Linked DNA regions of Oreochromis niloticus. The protein of the gene in region 2 interacts with the protein of the main gene of each other region in a pairwise test. Links are inferred from orthologs where the notes say so. Each region holds a gene or a part of one and is shown on either strand. Other genes may lie near its edges.

What was found.
Region 1: the proteins of segment polarity protein dishevelled homolog DVL-3 (region 2) and syt6a interact in binary tests that used the Homo sapiens proteins (3 or more experiments, as listed by UniProt). The two-hybrid records come from large-scale screens. The link is inferred for Oreochromis niloticus from reciprocal best matches to the Homo sapiens genes DVL3 and SYT6.

What each region holds. Positions count from the first base shown.
Region 1 is NC_031984.2:8,068,800-8,077,030, reverse strand, and holds the start of syt6a (synaptotagmin-6), read right to left. Parts: upstream 3,557-8,231; 5' UTR 3,535-3,556; coding exon 3,378-3,534; intron 1-3,377.
Region 2 is NC_031982.2:12,052,193-12,060,916, reverse strand, and holds the start of segment polarity protein dishevelled homolog DVL-3, read right to left. Parts: upstream 3,135-8,724; 5' UTR 2,664-3,134; coding exon 2,503-2,663; intron 1,055-2,502; coding exon 985-1,054; intron 1-984. Other genes in the region: copb2 (coatomer subunit beta'), read right to left, coding at 5,651-5,746, 5,941-6,069, 6,228-6,305, 6,481-6,618, 6,716-6,854, 6,971-7,185, 7,311-7,421, 7,565-7,772 and 3 more. UniProt on the Homo sapiens protein: Involved in the signal transduction pathway mediated by multiple Wnt genes.

The DNA.
Region 1 (8,231 bases), on a different chromosome or scaffold from region 2:
TCAGTTAAGATGGGCTAAGCTGAGGTGAAAAACGGATGTGGTGTGTGGTCCTTTTTGGAAATGGTATATTATTCACAATAACTATTACTGTCACCATCACTGATTGTGACCTACACCCGTTTTCACACCTTGGCTCATGTGATTAGGTAGAGGATCATTAGGGGGTACACTGTCCCTCTTGGGGGGACACTCCCACAGGGCTTAAATCCCACAGGGCTTAAATCTGGCACGCTCCACCATTTGACCTCAAGAAGCTTCTCGGATGAGAGGTGAAACGTCTTCAAGCAACTTAAAGAAGTCCAGACGCTTTTCTTTCCAAGCTCTTTAGACCACCATGACCTGCATGACTGAGAACCTTAACATTCACAATAACTGTTAAAAACATGAAGAAAGAAGAAATCCAATATAGAAGAAAATGAATGGGAAGCGAAATTTTGCTTTTAAAAATAAACCAGCTGATCTCCACAGTTATGAAGAACAGAGGTTTCTAAAAAGAGGTGATGCAGCAAAATTGTAAACATGCCATACACTTAAAAAAAACGCACACTTTTTTCAAACAGTAGCATTTCTCAGTACTGTCTGTGAAGACTCAAACACTGGAAACCCTACTACGACAAGTCGTAGCACTTTTAAAATCAGCCTTATGTTCTTGTGTGTGTTTGTGTGTGTGTGTATTTAATTTACTGATCAATTAAGAAATGGAATAATTGAGTTAAAATAAGAAGAGCAATTCACAGAAAAAACAAACCAAAAAAACAAAAAACATTCCTAATTTCTTACAATTTGGAACAAATATGTCAAAAACAAAACAAAAATCAGGCTCTCTCTGTTTGATTTCATTACAGTAGCTTACTTGTGGCACTTAGGCTACACTGTAAAAAAAAATCCTAATATAAAAGTATTTTACTGTGTATTTTACAGTTTTGTTCTGTTCTTCTAGAATATCATTAAATTTACATAAATAGACTGTGATTTCACATTTCAAATGTAAATTAACGTAAAATCACTGTAATGTAATAAAACATAATTTTCTTGTTTTTTAAATGTACTTGTCTGTACTTATGCATATTTAGATTGTTAAAATACATTCACAAATGTATCATGATTTCACAAATATGTGTCTGTTAGTTGAAAGATTGAACTGTTAAATTCAAATGTAATGCTATGGAAAAATATATAAAATGATTCTCATAAACTTTTTTAACATCAAATAATTATTATTACCCTCCATTAGCTTTGTTCCAATAGCTCTAGACTGCTGGAGTATTTCATCTTCACTCATCTTTTTTCACTCGCTATGTGTTTATACTCTGTGTGTTTAATTAGTTTTTATTCATTTCTAGCTCTCTTCCACAATGCAGGATTCTTCCCATCAAAGAAGAGTTTTTCCTTCCCACTGTCGCCAACTGCATGCTTATGGGGGACCGATGGGGTTTTCTCCATATCATTGTAGGGTCTTTGCTTACAATATAAAGTGCCTTGCAGTGTGTGCTTTGTATGGATTATGGTGCTATATAACAAAAATTGAAAAAACTAAACTGAATGAACAAATGTGTGACCACAGATTGCGTTTTGGCAATTAGCATGATAGTGAAATGTGTAATTTCTATTTACTGTGATTTGTGACGAATAAGTTGTCACTTCGGGCTAAACCTATAAAATCTGTCAAAAATCTTTTATTTAAATGTCAGTTTTATTACGATCCTGCATTGTAAGTCCTGTTGATGAACAAAAACTCAAATCTCTCTTTCTGCTGTAATCAGTGTTGCACAAAAATACGTGAAACAAGACATTTTCTTCAGCCCCAACCTACACATCCTCCAACACTATCAGAAGCAGCTTGTCTTTAGCTTCCTCATGGCAGAAGGAATTTGCATCAATGGCCACATAACATGCAATGGCATGTAATGTCCCCACAGCTCGGTAGTAGATGCCAGTGGCACTGTGATGTACGTTCAATTTCTCTGCTGAGGATGATGTGAGGTGACAGTGGATTTGGTCAGGATTGGTGTGACATGCACTCTTTGAGCAGGGGCCCATCTTCCAAAAAAGCAGCAGCAAATAGCATTTCCTCTTTGCTCTGCACCTGCTGACGAATCTAAAGACTCTTTTTTTTTTCTGTCAAACACAGAAAACTCAATGCAGTGCACGTGAACTTGCAAGCAAACTCGTAAAATCAGATGGATTATAAAAGGAATCCAAATTGCGGTTATGGATAAATAATATGCAACAGTTAATGGAAATTGGCATGAAATAGTGTCCTGATAGACTTCCTATTTTAAACAATCTGTTCTTCTGTAGTTTGAATTTGCTTCATTTTTTCATGCAAATTATTCTGTAAAAGTGTATAAATCGTGTCACTCTTCATGTTGTACACAGACATTTAACATTTAAATCCCATTTACTAAAAATCTTCACACAGTGAGACCTCAGGGAAGCCTGCCTTTCTAAGTCTATAAGGCAACAAATCCTTCAAACACCCTAGTGTATTTGACAGTGTTATCTGCAGTGTAAGTAAATTAAATCAAGCTTCCCCCGCTTTTAGAAAACTCAGGCAATATTTGCTAGATTGAACTGCAAATTCTCATGACTCGAATTTGTAGAAGGGAAAAAATACACACAAACGCTGGAGCCTGTTGTAGAGCTGCTGCATTTAAAATATATTTGAAGAGAGGGATTATTCCTTTAAAGAGGGTGAAGCCCACTACAAGTGCAAGAGCAACAGATGCACAAGGCTGCAACAGATGTGTAAATCAGCCCTCATGAATAAGTCAAAAATCCCTTTTTTATGATGTCGAAACTTTGCCGTACAGATTAAACGCACGACTATCCTGCTTTTCCACAAGCTGCAGCTACATGTGTTCAGATTTATATTTAGAGGCATAAACCATACAAAACATGCCTGAAAATGTTTTTATTTTATTTTGATTGTAAGCTGTTGTGCTCAGGACATCACCGGGCATCACTCAGCCTTAAGGCTTATCCATTACAGTAAAGAAACTCTGCCCTCCGGGGCAAACTGACGAGTCAATGGGAATTTGTTTTGTTGTTGTACACCTATTGCTCCCCATTGCCCTGAGGTCACAAAAACTCATTAAGGATATATAAATGGCCACGAGTGTTCAGTGAAAGCCCTGTCCGAGTAACCATCTCTGAGCATACATGTGGGAAATAAATAGAAAAGGACAAGCACATGTTTAAGCAGATTGCTGCTTTCTTCGACTTTTGCGTGACAGAAAAGCATTCACAAACAAAATCCTTTACTATTAGCTCTACTCTTGGAAACAAATGAGCATGGAGCCATACAAAGCACAGAGAAGGCAGAGAAGGTGCTGCCTTACAACCAGTGCACATCAGAAGCTAATGATATTACTCACCCAGTTCTTTGTGGTCAGAGCTGTGGCCAGACAATAGGAAAAGGAAATCCTGACAGGTGTCCTGATCCAACGATGTGCTGTTGTGCAGGCAGAGGTCAACAATTAGGGTCACAGCTCTCTGACAGACCATGTCATACTCCTCTCTGTCAGAACTCATGCTCCCAGCTGCATCCTCAGCCGCGTGTGCTCATCCAAGGGGACCAATACTCCCACGCACACACGCAGCAGGCTGGCATGCAGAAGATAAATGCAACTTGTCTCCGTCCTAGGCTGATTCTTCTCCTTCTTCTGCCGTCTCTCGAGTGTGTGTGCATGTTTTCTTGTGTGCGTGCGTGTGTGTGCTTCACTTTGTTTGTGTGTTCATGTGTGCAAGCTTGTCCCAACATTGTGTGTGCGTGTGTGCAAGATGGACCAATATTTTTTAGTGCATAAACATGTGGTGTTTGTGCTGCTCCCCATGTGTCCATGTGTAAGTGTGTGTATAACTGTGTTTTGTAGACTTAATTAATCACATTTATCCCCATGTGTTATAAGCGCAGAATTATTGCATCACATTGACACCAGGAAAGCAAGTCAAACAAAACACACTGATTTCAGTCAAACATCCATACAGTACACTATAAAATGTCAGAGCTTGATGACACCTTCAAGCCCCCTCACCTTTGGCTGTTATGCCACCACACATTCGTTGAGTGTGAATAGACTTTTAAAAAACCCACAAGACTTGTTTTTCTCAAGTTGTCTAACATGGCTAGTCCCTGCAGGTCAGAGACTCCCCTGACACGAATCTCCCCTGAGCTGAGCCACCTGTAACTACCAGGTCTCACTCCCACAGACAATCCCCTATCGGTTCAACTGTGATCCCTTAATGACCTGTAATGATGATAGTTCACCTCTTTGTGAGTAAGTAGGGCTCCATATAATGTGTTCAAATGGTTATTTTACTGATACACACTCATGCACTGTTTATACTCTAAAATACAAACTCAAATAGCCAACAGTTTATACAGCTACTTCTCCCATCCAATCACTCCGTCGCTGCTATTGATTGACTATGTTGCTGCCATCCCATGTGCAATATCTCAGTCTTTCCTTGTTCTGTGCAATATTTTGGTCTTCCCTTTTTGCCATGCAATATTTTGATCTCTGTGAAATTACCATTCCCATCCGTGTTTGGAACCAGAAGTGGTCATATTTGAGTGGAGTGATGTGTGATCAGCCAAATTACTACTTAGCTTGGTTAGCAAGAATTTTATAAACTGTGCATAAAGCAGATACTGAAGCTCAAACTTTTGGACTTACTGTACCACTCAGCAAACTAACTATAATATAGTTGTGGATGAAAAATGTTTCCAAAATGAAATTGTGCTGACATCAGAGGCATAACATTGCCATTTGTTGCATACCCTTCATGAATGTTTGGATGTCTTTCTTGGATGCTGGAGTCAAAACCCCTTTGTATAGAGAGTGCTTAGCAGATTTATTAGACCACCTTTCTTAAAAACTATAAAAACACAAATATTTTAAAAATCTCTTGAAAATGCATTTTTTAACTAAAAACTAAATAATTCACAATTTTATACTTTTTAGTCAGAAATTAATCAAGCATAACATTCAACTACTAAACCAAATCTTTCTGTTCAGGAATTTGCATCTTATTTAAGACTATTTTCCTGCTTTTTGTAAAACAGAGTATTTGTAAATGGATGCATAACAACAATATTTTATTTTAGCACTGAAAATATCATGTTCATTACATCTTGTATATACTGATAGATTAATACAATACAAGTTTATTTATATAGCACATTTAAAACCAAAGGTACACCAAAGTGCTTCAAAACAAGATTAAAACATAACAGATATCAGACCATAACAGGGTACAAATAAACTAACAAGTGAGAAACGCTAGTTAAACAATCAATACAGATAAAATAGGAAATGAAACATCTGAGCGTAATTTAAAAGATAAAATCACTGAGTATTTGTAAATATAAGGTGGGGGTATTTATACAGTGATATATCAAATAGAAGATAAATAACATAGGGATAAAATACAGGGAATGAGCACTAACTAACCAGAAACGCTCGCTCAAACAGGTAAGTTTTTAACCGTGATTTAAATGAATGGATGGAATCAGAGGCGCGAATAGCTGCAGGAAGATTGTTCCAGAGGTTAGGGCAGGGGTCGGCAACCTGCGGCTCCGGAGCCGCATGCGGCTCTTTAGTCCTTAAAGTGCGGCTCCGCTTGGTTTGGGCAAATAAATTAGAAGTATTTAGCTGAAGTGTATTTTATTTATGTTAGTTCTTTTTAACTTGTAGTTCTAAATTGGAAGATTATTGTGATATTGAAATATAAAAATAAAATGATATTCTATTATTTTTTCATCGCTCAAAATAAGAGTCACACTCGCGGAAGCCGGTGTACCCGCCGAAACGCCGTGCATTTATCGAGACTTTCAACCCCAGGTAGGCCAATTATGGATCTTCGGATCCACATTATGTCAGCAGCTGTTCTCCACCGTGAACTATGTTAAAGACAAACACCGTTCACGCCTGACAGATGACAGCTTACAGTCCTGCGTAAACTGACTTTGTATAGCCCCGATTTGCGGACTCTGTGCGCAGAGGTTCAGGAGCAGAAGTCCCATTGTAAACATATCACGGCAGACCCGACGATGTTTCCATGAGCATGCTTTTGAGCATCTCTTTATTGAGCACTTTTCACACACGGTTGCTGTATGCATACAGCCGGCTGTAGCTTTTCAGCTCACAGCCCGACAACACAACAGCACAGATAGCGCAGACTTTAAGGCAGCGAGGCGTGATTGCGGGTGTCGCTCAGGTGCGTCCGCCTCCCCTGCAGCGGCGCTGCAAACCACGCCCCGCCGCACGCATTAACTAGGTAAAATACATATTTAGGCAGAATTTTGCAAATATCTATTTTTCATTTTTCAGCAGCATAGTGCTTTTTTCCAATTATTTTTTAAGAGTCAGGTCAAGGCTCCAACAGCCCAAAGGGGATATAAGGGTGGCGGCTGACAACAGTTTTTGTTTGCTACATGGATCATTTTAGTTCAGGTTGGTGTCTTTCCTTTTATTATATTTCTTTAAGAGTTCAAAATGTGTTGATTACATAAATATAATGTAATTTTCTCTGTAGCACTTCATGGATTTCATAAGCAACACACTTAAGTTGTTCACACAAAGCATAAAGATAAAAAACAATCTATACAGTGTTATCTTCATTTTAGATGTCAAAAAGTATTTGCGGCTCCCAGTGTTTTCTTTTGCGTGGAAACCGGGTCCAAATGGCTCTTTGGGTGTAAAAGGTTGCAGATCCCTGGGTTAGGGGCTGCCAGGGCAAAAGCACGGTCACCTCTGGTCTTTAGCCGGGACCTAGGCTCCACTAGGAGTAATTGTCCTGATGATCTTAGGGCTCTCCTAGGGGTATACGGACTAAGGAGTTCAACAAGGTAGCACGGTGCAGTGTTGTTCATGATTTTAAAGGTAAGCAACACAATTTTAAACTCAATGTGGTATTTGATAGGAAGCCAATGCAGGTCAGCAAGGACTGGGGTAATAGAGGCAAACCTTCTGGTTCCAGTCAAAAGGTGTGCCGCAGCATTCTGGACAAGCTGAAATCTATGAAGAAGGGCAGAGTGGAGACCAAAGTAAAGGGAATTATAGTAGTCTAATCTAGAGGTCACAAAAGCATGGATAAGATTTGACGCAGTTGGTAAAAACTAGATTTAACTACAGAGGATACTTGTTTGTCAAACTTAAAGAGGCTGTTGAAGAGTGTCGAAGACACCTAAGTTGATAACAGTGCCAGAAAGAAAGGCGGCAAGGGGTCCAAGAGTGTCGGCAAATTGGCCCCGGGAAATATGGTTATCAAACAACATGATTCCGTTTTCTTCTCGTTTAATATAAGAGAGTTATCAGAGAGCCAATCTTTGACCTCTCTCAAGCACTCTAGCAGACAGTGTACTGACGACGAAATGTCATCAGTCAGCTGAAAGTAAATTTGAATATCGTCAGCATAAAAGTGAAAGGAGATATTATACATCTCGAAGATAGAGTCTAGGGGCAGCATATACAATGAAAACCACAACGGGCCCAACACAGATCCCTGGGGCACACCACAGTAGAGGGAAGCAACAGAGGAAGAGCAGCCACCCATAGTGACGGAGTAGGACCTATCCGAAAGATACGATCTAAACCAGTTAAGGGCACTACCCCTTATGCCTACTGTATGTTCAAGCCTCATTAAGAGGATATTATGCTCCACCATATTGAAGGCAGAAGTCAAGTCCAATAGAACTAAGACCATAGAGCACCCTGAGTTGGCAAATAAAAGAAGGTCATTAAGGACTCTCAGCAGCGCTGTTTCAGTGCTACGGCATGGTTTAAAGTCAGACTGGAACTTATCACTGATATTGTTTGCATGCCGATCAAGGTTACTTTTTTTTAGTAAGGGCTGTACTACCGCATGTTACCAGATTAACATCACAGCATGTCTTTCATCCTGTCTTCCTTCTCTCCCCCCAACCGGTCGCAGCAGATGGCCGCCCCTCCCTGAGCCTGGTTCTGCCAAAGGTTTCTTCCTGTTAAAATGCGGGTTTTCCTTCCCACTGTCGCCAAAGTGCTTGCTCATAGGGGGTCATATGATTGTTGGGTTTTTCTCTGTATGTATTATTGTAGGGTCTACCTTACAATATAAAGCTGTTGTTGTGATTTGGTGCTGTATACTTAAAATTGAATTGAATTAGAAACATAAAAAAATATTTCTTCACTATATAGCAGAACTGTTAATTTAGGGCAGCTGTGGTATAAATCTTACACTGGGTCGTA
Region 2 (8,724 bases):
GGAGATACAGGGTGCTGGCTTGTTGTGATGAAATGATGTGCAGCGAGCCAGGCCTCTGGACCCCAGAGAATAATCAATCAGATCACTGAAACAACAGATGAACAGCGGAGACAAACAAATGGACATACTGTAACAGAAATAACATTTGACTGTACGTGGAACATATCAACAGCCCTCAAGAGATAACAAACACTTTGGAGCAAACGCACACAAAGGGGAACTGGCTTTTAAACACATTAAACTAAACCTCTGCGCAGTCTAATGAAAACGACCACAACAAAGAGACGCATTAGGACGAGCACGGTGGAATATACGCTCCAGAATGGAGCAATAACGCCATGTTGATGATGCTCAAATAATTAAAACCACACTGTAGAAATTAAGCGAGTGCTTTAGCCTTTCACATCACGACACAGAGCAGTCTTTCTCTCTGCTTTATTCTCTCCTCCCTGTGAGATTCAATCTTCTTGTTAGATGACCTGCAGTGAGGCCCTTTGTTATGGAGTATTTTCCGGCTATCCTGTGATTTCACTTGCTCTTAATCCAATTTCAATGTCGAGAAGAGAGGAAGGAGGGCCGTGCACGAGCGCCAGATGTCTCGAATGTTGTGGAGACAGGCGTATTATTGCTTAGAGGCTTTAAATAAGAAATTGCATGCAAGTACATGTATGTGCTATATGCGGCAACTAGCCTGTGTGAGGACACGCTAAAAAAAATTGATATTTTACAGTGAAAAAGAAAAGGTTTAGGAAAAGCAGTGTATGTATACTGCTCTGAGGATCGTTATGTGATAATGATATTATTACACAGATGTGCAGTGCCTCCCCCTAAGCTTGAGCATGACTGGGGTAAGTGCCCAACAGATGGTAATCATTGTTACACATTCATGTACGCCACTTAACCACACAAGTTATCGCACACAAGCAAACAGTAAAAAAATAAATAAATAAATACATTTTATTGCAGCGTGTATTTTGGACCTACCCATGACACCACGCGTCCATTGAAGCAGGGCAGCTTAGCATTGTCATCAGATATTTCTTCCTTTACCACCCTGTAAAGAGAACAAGGCTTTGTTTCAGTCAAACATTACCAACACAAAAGCACTCCCTGGGCAATAAAACATGAGGGTGCATTTAGAGGAAGTGGAGCTGGACAATATATTCCACCAACCAGGACGGACGCTGACAACTGGGGACAGTTTTACACATTAAGAATCAATGACAATGTTCAAAATAACCAAATGTTTGACACTACTGGCACACGCACAGAAAACCAGTCCAAAGATGGCTCACTTGTCCATTTCATATATAGAAGTAAGCCTTAATGCATTACAGACTGCTGCAAATACATTAACAAAAGGCATGTGTAAATGTAACCATGTGAATTTCCTGCAAACCCTCCCATTCATTCAGTCCTGCTTGCAAGGATCAGATGGCAGGCAGATCTTAACAACACCTTGTTACACAATGAAGAGGACAAATAAGGCATGTATTTAACAAGTGCCTCAGAGTATTGGAGATGTCAAGATTAGCCGGGTCTTTGACAGGGAGAACACTGATGGTCAGTGAGGCTTTCCTGGTAAAGATCTCAGGCTCCAAACCAGTCTAACAAGTTACTAAAACACCATCAGTCTAGACTTTAAGGATTCAGCAGCTAATTTAGTGCATGCACCTCCACTCTTGAAACAACACAAATAGCTGCGGATCCTTTCAAAACTCGTCCTTCCTATCTAGGTTGTTGCCCCACCCTTGTTTGAGTTTAGCCAGAAAAACTTTGGCAACCTGGCTCGAGTGTTTAAAAAAAAAAAAAAAAAAGTACATTTCTCCCTTTTATTTAACTCTGAAGAAGGTAAAGTGTGGAGGATCATAAAACGTCTACTTTTCTGGCCATGTTTTAACACAAAGGGACACGCTCATAAAGCTGCCAGAGTGATGAACAGGGCATTCCTGTGTCCAACTTTGCATTCCTTAGGCTAATAGACAACAACAGCAGGGGCCTTCTGGTCTCACTCACTCACCAAGTGTCCGGTTAGACCCATTCATTAGCCTGCTAGCATAAGCGTTTCATACATTAGGCAGCAACTGACAGCTGTAACGTCAATAACTAGTTAGTAACACTTTTCTGAATTGCTCCTTGTTTCATTTAGTCTTCAATAAGTTGAAATGCGATTAAAGGCTTTCTTTTAGTGTTCATGACACTGGAAATGACCAAACTTGGTAAGACAGTACAGCATAAGCTAAGCACGAGCAATGTAAACAAACGGGGTCGGGACGCTGAACAGACCTGCTAACGATGCGACCTGGACGCTAGCAGCTAACAAAGGAACAGCAAAGCAAACGGCTAGCTGATGACTGAAAGACAGGCAACCTTAAAAGTGATGACAAGCCAGCTCCACGAGGTAACAAATATGTTACAGTTAATCTGACTGGACTGAGGTTAAGCAGACTCGGGTTGCTATGCTGATTCCACGTTAAACACAATGAACCCTTTAACAGTTACCCGAAGTCATCGTCCATAGATTTGAAGAAGAATTTGTAATTTGGTTTCTTGAGGACATTTTTGAAGTCTGCCAGCGTGACTTTGTCCGCCGGCACCGACAGTTTCACCAGATATGGTGTCTCCTGGTCGTCGAGGTGGTAGATAATTTTGGTCTCCCCCATCTCGGACTGCGGATAAGGCAAGGCAGACTGGGTGCATCAAGCCAAGGGCCTGGCAGGCTCCCTCTCGGGCCCCGACTCCCCGTGGCGCTGGCGGCTGCGGCTGTGCCGTGGTCCACCCGACTCTCTCTGGCTGACCGACCCGTTCCGTAGTGCCCGGTTCTGCCTTTTTTTTCCCCTTTCTTTTTTCTTTACGGCAGCTTGCTAACGTTACGTCTGACTCTCTATTAAAAAAACACCTTGCTGTTCCACAAAGCGTCCAAACACCGCCCCAGGACTGAATTGCTTTAGTTTCCGTTTGTGTAAAACCTACAATATATCACAAAAACCTTACAAATAAGTGAGAAAAACAGTTTCAAAACGGCGCAAAAATAAACAATCTCAGAAGGGTCCGTACTCCCTTCTCGCTAGCTGCTCGGCTTTACTTTGTTGCACACGAAACTGCATAAAATCGTCCAAGCCTGTCTCGGAGGAGCGCCCTCCGCAGGTGAGGAGGAGAGTGACAGCTTTTCGAGGACAGCTGGGGCACTTTAACTGCTCCCATACTGCTCTGGCAAGGCCATTAAACGGCCTTTAAGCAGTTTTGAAGCCCCACAGACCACCCACAATTATATGATGTTATACTTACACAGAGCTTCAATATGTTTATACTCAAAAGTTTCCAATTTACAGCTGAAACCTTTAGATGGATTGCAAAGAATAAGACCATCATTGTCAGTCATCATTTTACTCTCTTAGAATTTGGATCTTAATCACTCTGAAATTAAAAATTTCAGCTGTGACACAAAAGACAAATGGAAAATTCCCCTTTGCATTTTAAATCTGGAAGGAGGGGGTTGGGGGAATGTAGGCCCTCCCATCATACAGCAGAGAATTGGCATGGAGGGAGAGGTTTTGAAATCAAACGACATTTTTATTTGTGTATGAATTTTGCTGACCCCTTGTAATTGCTATCATAGCTCACTCAGACTGAGAAGAAGTCCAATCAGAGTGATTGAAAGGCAGTAATATTTCAATTTTGTTATCAAGATTATTTGTTTTTCCCACATCAGCAGGTCAAAGAACTTAATTTATGACTGTGGATCATGGTTAACATTCTTCAGTTTATTATATGGCCATTGTTCACACTTTAGACATGTTTTATAGCACATGAAATAGCAGACAGGTGTTACCGACATTAATGCCGGTTATGCTGTATTTAAGCACAAAGCCGTAATTAATGTGGTTATTAACATCTGTGTTTACCTGCTATTTCAGATAAAAATGTGTCTTATTACTCTGAGGTGTGCAGTGAGATTTTACACACAAACACATCTACACTTTTAGATAGCATACATCTGGCTGAAGGATAACATACTTTTATAGTCCTTTCTTTACAGATAATAGCATTTTAATAGAACAAATGCTGTAAATTACATCTTTATAAGTGTAACCATCAAAATATTCCATCTTTACTTTTGCTATTTATCAAAATGTCATAAAAAACAAAGCAAGATATCAAGTATCAAACACTGCCTTTTAAAAACTGAATTATGAACGCAGAAAAGCACAATGTGGAAAGTGTCTAATTGGCAACAGATGACTCTTTTAGCATGACAATCACAAACACACTGTCAATGCAGTTAAAGCAACACAACAGTTTAAAAAGTCTGAAGCTACAGTTAAAGTAGTACAAGATAAAAGTACTCTTTATGGAGAATAAATGATATCTTTTCATACTAATATTGCACTTTGTGCATGTGGAGTAAGTGTTAACTGCTTTCTGTGATGCTAGTTATTGTATCAATACTCAGAAAAGAACCTAAAAGAATGCACTTAAGTGCACTGCAGTAAAAGTGTTTTTGTTTTGTTTTTTTAACATGTTTACGAGCATAAAGTAGTTTAACCTGTTCAAAACAGTTAGAAGATGCACAATGGGCCTTTCTCATACAGAGAGTAACAACTTGAATCTTAGTAAAGGCTGCATGTTAGTCATGTCTGACTTACTGCCACACCTACATGGTGCAACAGAGACACTGTTAATGTTAATTACACAAATGCTGCTGCTGCCAAAAGATGTTTGTAGGTTTTCCTGTTTGTTTTTGACAATTACAAGACTTGCATCACTGGAATTTTTCAAATAATTATGCATTATTATGCTGTTTATTATGCAGTGATGCATGTGTGTCTGTCTAATTTATACAGCTGGCAGTAGAATGGGAGGATGGCATGGCTCAGGCCAGCGAGAGGAAGAGGCTATGACATCCTAAGTTGAAAGCGGAGGTGGAACAGTGAGGTTGGAGAGCAATAGTTTGCACAGTGGAGATTAACAGTGGTTATGTTTCTGTTACTGTACTGGAGCAACTGTAACCCACATAATTTCCTTAGGGATTAATAAAGTATACTGATTCTGATTGTGCTATAACCACCCAAACTCCTTAAAAAGTTAGAGATGTGTGGCCAAGCCGTACACCACACCATCTCAGGAATTGCTCAGTGCTGCAGTAAGTGGCTGTAGATGAGGAGCAAAGACCCCAGCTGGACCCTGACACACTCGATGCTGCTGAGGAACTTATTATTGCTTCATTATTAAAAGCTGCATTTGTTAATTTTTGCGATAACTATCAAGATTAAGACGCTCTTTAGTCAAATGTGAATATGTACAGAAACCAGTTTATTGGACTTAATGAATGTTCACTTGCCACAACAGAAAAAAAAAGCAAAGCAAAAAGCAAAGAGTAATAAAATACAGCCCAGTGGACAGTTTTTCTGAAATTCTCAAACAATAAATGGTTTACAAAATGAGGGAGTCTGTCTACCTTTCTTCTGAGGATAAAACATCACTGATATCATGATCTGCCACTCAAACACTGCAGTAGGCGGATATGACAATATAACATTTTTACGGACAAATACAAAAGAAAAAAAAAGTGGGGAAAAGGGATTTGGTCTCTTTTTCTTTTAAATATGCTCTATAGAGTGCTTGGGAGCAGACTGTTGGCAGGTCTCAATCAATCGTCGAGAAAGTCATCATCAAGGTTAACATCTGTGGTGTCAATGTCATCCAGCTCCATGTTGTCCAGGTCCACCTCGAGCTCATCCAGAGTCTAGGACGGAGAGACACAAACAAAAAGGAAAATCCTTTTTTAAACAATGTTCCATTTATTTGCTTTTACTTCATCAACTAAGAACAGTATGTGCTAAAAGTTGTTTTGTATGAATAAAACCTAAGTCATCACTTCCACACTAGAAGAAGGACTGACAGCATAATAAATCAAAAATAAAGAGCAGAAGTCTTTACCTTATCTTTCTGTGAGAAATCATAGATTTCAGTCTCTTTCTCTTTCTCCACTGCTGCAGGAGGAGCAGGCTCAGGCTGTAAAGGTGTCACCGCAGCAACGGGAGCTGCTGCCTCCTCTTCATCTTGTGTCTGCCAAAAAAAGTGAGTTAAATAAGGGAATTTTAAATTGTACTTGGCACTAATTTCTCTAGCTTTTATTCATTCTTACACCCGACAGAAGCTACAGAACAATGAACAGTAATCAGGTTAATACAAAAGGTACTGAGATATTGATACTGTATGCAAACCTTAGAGACAGGAGGTAGGAAGGTTCCTTTGGGCTCGTATCCTTGGGCCTCTTCAAGAATGTTTCTGTCTTCATTGGGCTGAAAATGTCAGATACAAATTCAGAAGTGCTGCCATATTAGCGATAACACAGATAATTTACCTCAAAACTAAGCATCTTTTTTACTTAAGTCATCATGGACTTTCAGTGAGTACTTTAATGACCGTCTCCTCACTGCATAATTTAAGTATTTTGACCAAAGTCATTCAGCTTACTGTAACAAGTGGATAGTCTTTAGCAGGCCTGGTGGTGCCCAAGCAGGTTTCTCTCAGGTAGTGTTCAGCTGCAAAGGCTTCTTTCAGCCCGGGGAACAGATTCTCATACTCTGTAGGGTCTGCTAGGGATTCAGCCGCCTACAATGAAGATGCAGGTCATGACCAAGAACAGATATCTAGACTGATGCTGATTGAGTTTAACAGCTAAAACAAAAATCTCAAGGACGTAACTAACCTTCTGGTTGACCTTGGCCAGATTCTCCCTCCATAATTTGACCACACGGGACACCTGGCTGGGTAGGTAAGTGCGAGCCAGGAAGGCAGCTTCAGGTAGTCTGTTTGTTCTGATCAGAAGCTCCAAACACTGATCCAGTCTGTGAAGAAAGCACAGCAGCAAGGCATGAATGACCCTGGTAGCCTCATTTTCAGTGTGAACAACACGATTCTATTACACAATTCGCCCCTGCAGGCTCATACATCTCACACTTACTTTCCCTGAAGGAAGTAGGTCATGAAGGCTACATTGTTTTTGCCGTCCCTTTCTGCCCCTTCAGCCAGCTTGCCCACCATGACAGCATTACCGGAGGCTGTAGCGAGGAGGAGCAGGCCACCATAATCCTGGGCATGGTGCAGGCACTCTTGGGCCAGGCCAAACTGGCACTTACTAATAGCCAGCTCTGCTAGCTGCTTCCACTTCTGCTCTGACTGTAGAGAACAGAGTAAAAAATATCAGAAATGTACTGGACAGAAAACCTGATCCATCGTGACATCAAATTACATTTATGGTCAAGCCTTTGATACAGAGTTTGCGTTTGCTTCTGTGTCCTTACTTCTGCTTCTACAGCCAGCTGGTAAGCAATCTTCAACTCTCCCAGCTGCAAGGCTAACTCAAACCTGTGCTCAGGGTCTGTGGACACTGCCAGGGCCTGCTGCTTGAAACCCTGATGAGCCAAAGAAATTGAAGCCTTAAGCATACTTACAACTCAAAAGACAACCATTAAAATAACCTCTAATAGACCAGATTTCTACAGCTTATGTTTAAAGTCCAGTTGTATTTGAAGATGAATGAATCGCCTTTGCTAACCTGTTTCTCCAGGAAGTGTGCCACCCTGGTCCTCTGCTCTTTAGGGATAGTGGGTAGCACCTTGTCAGCCATTCCAAAGTCCCGCCTCATTACAGCAGTCTGGTACTCCAGGACGGAGACCAGCAGGGAGTAGCTGACGATATTGAGCTCCTTGTCTCCCAGATACAGACGGTCATCTTTAGGTATGTAACCCAGTAGGTACATGGTCCTGCAGAAAAGGAAGTAGGTGTGAAAAAGCACCAAGGCTAATTTTAGAGGCTGCTTATTCTTTTTGTAGATTACATATTTACTGTAATAATCTGCGGAGTTTCCGCATTGCTGGACTGTGTTTCTAATAAAGTTGGGAGGGCAATTCTATTCAACTCGAGCCTAAATAGTCTGTATTCTTACCTGTCCAAGTGTGCAATTGTGACAATCTCTCCTCCAACGTAATAGTTGAGTCTGTTTACAGAGCTGGTGTAGATGAAGCAGTCTCCAACCCAGAGCCCAGTCTTGACAATCTCCTGGATCTCTCCCTGGACCTGAACATGTCATAAAAGGTCAAATATATTTCTTAGATCAAGTATTACATTATGCTAAGCTATTCTGAACACTGACTTCCAACAAAGGATGTGAATGCACTCACATCCACACACCTACCTCAAAGGCATCTTCAATACCATCCTCTGTCACTCCCTCGTTGTTCTCTTGGGAGGCAGCGACTTTATCTGCCAGGTAGCGCAGGATGAAGAAGGACTCCTCTGTGGCAATGCAGACCAGTTCACCAGAGTCTGACCAGAAGATCTGAAAAATATGAGAAAAAAGAAAGAAAAAGGTAACGCTACTAGAATTACTGGACAACAGCTTCTGGCAGTCACTCACTAACTTATTTAAATAGACCAGCGCTAAAAATAAGGTTAGAGAAGCACAAAAGTAATTTGTGGTGACTTCAATTAAAAATGCACAGAGTTTCCAGACAGTTGAACAGGGACCAGGACTGAGAACAAATATCTAACTCAGTAGAAGAAAGCCAGTCTTACATGCTTGGGCTGGATCTCAATGCGGCGGATTAACTCTGTGTTCTCCCAGTCGTAAAATGCCAGGCCGTTCACCGACCTCACCCCAAGCAAGAAACCTCCATAGATACCTGTAGATCAGAAATACAGGGAAACGTCTGGTGA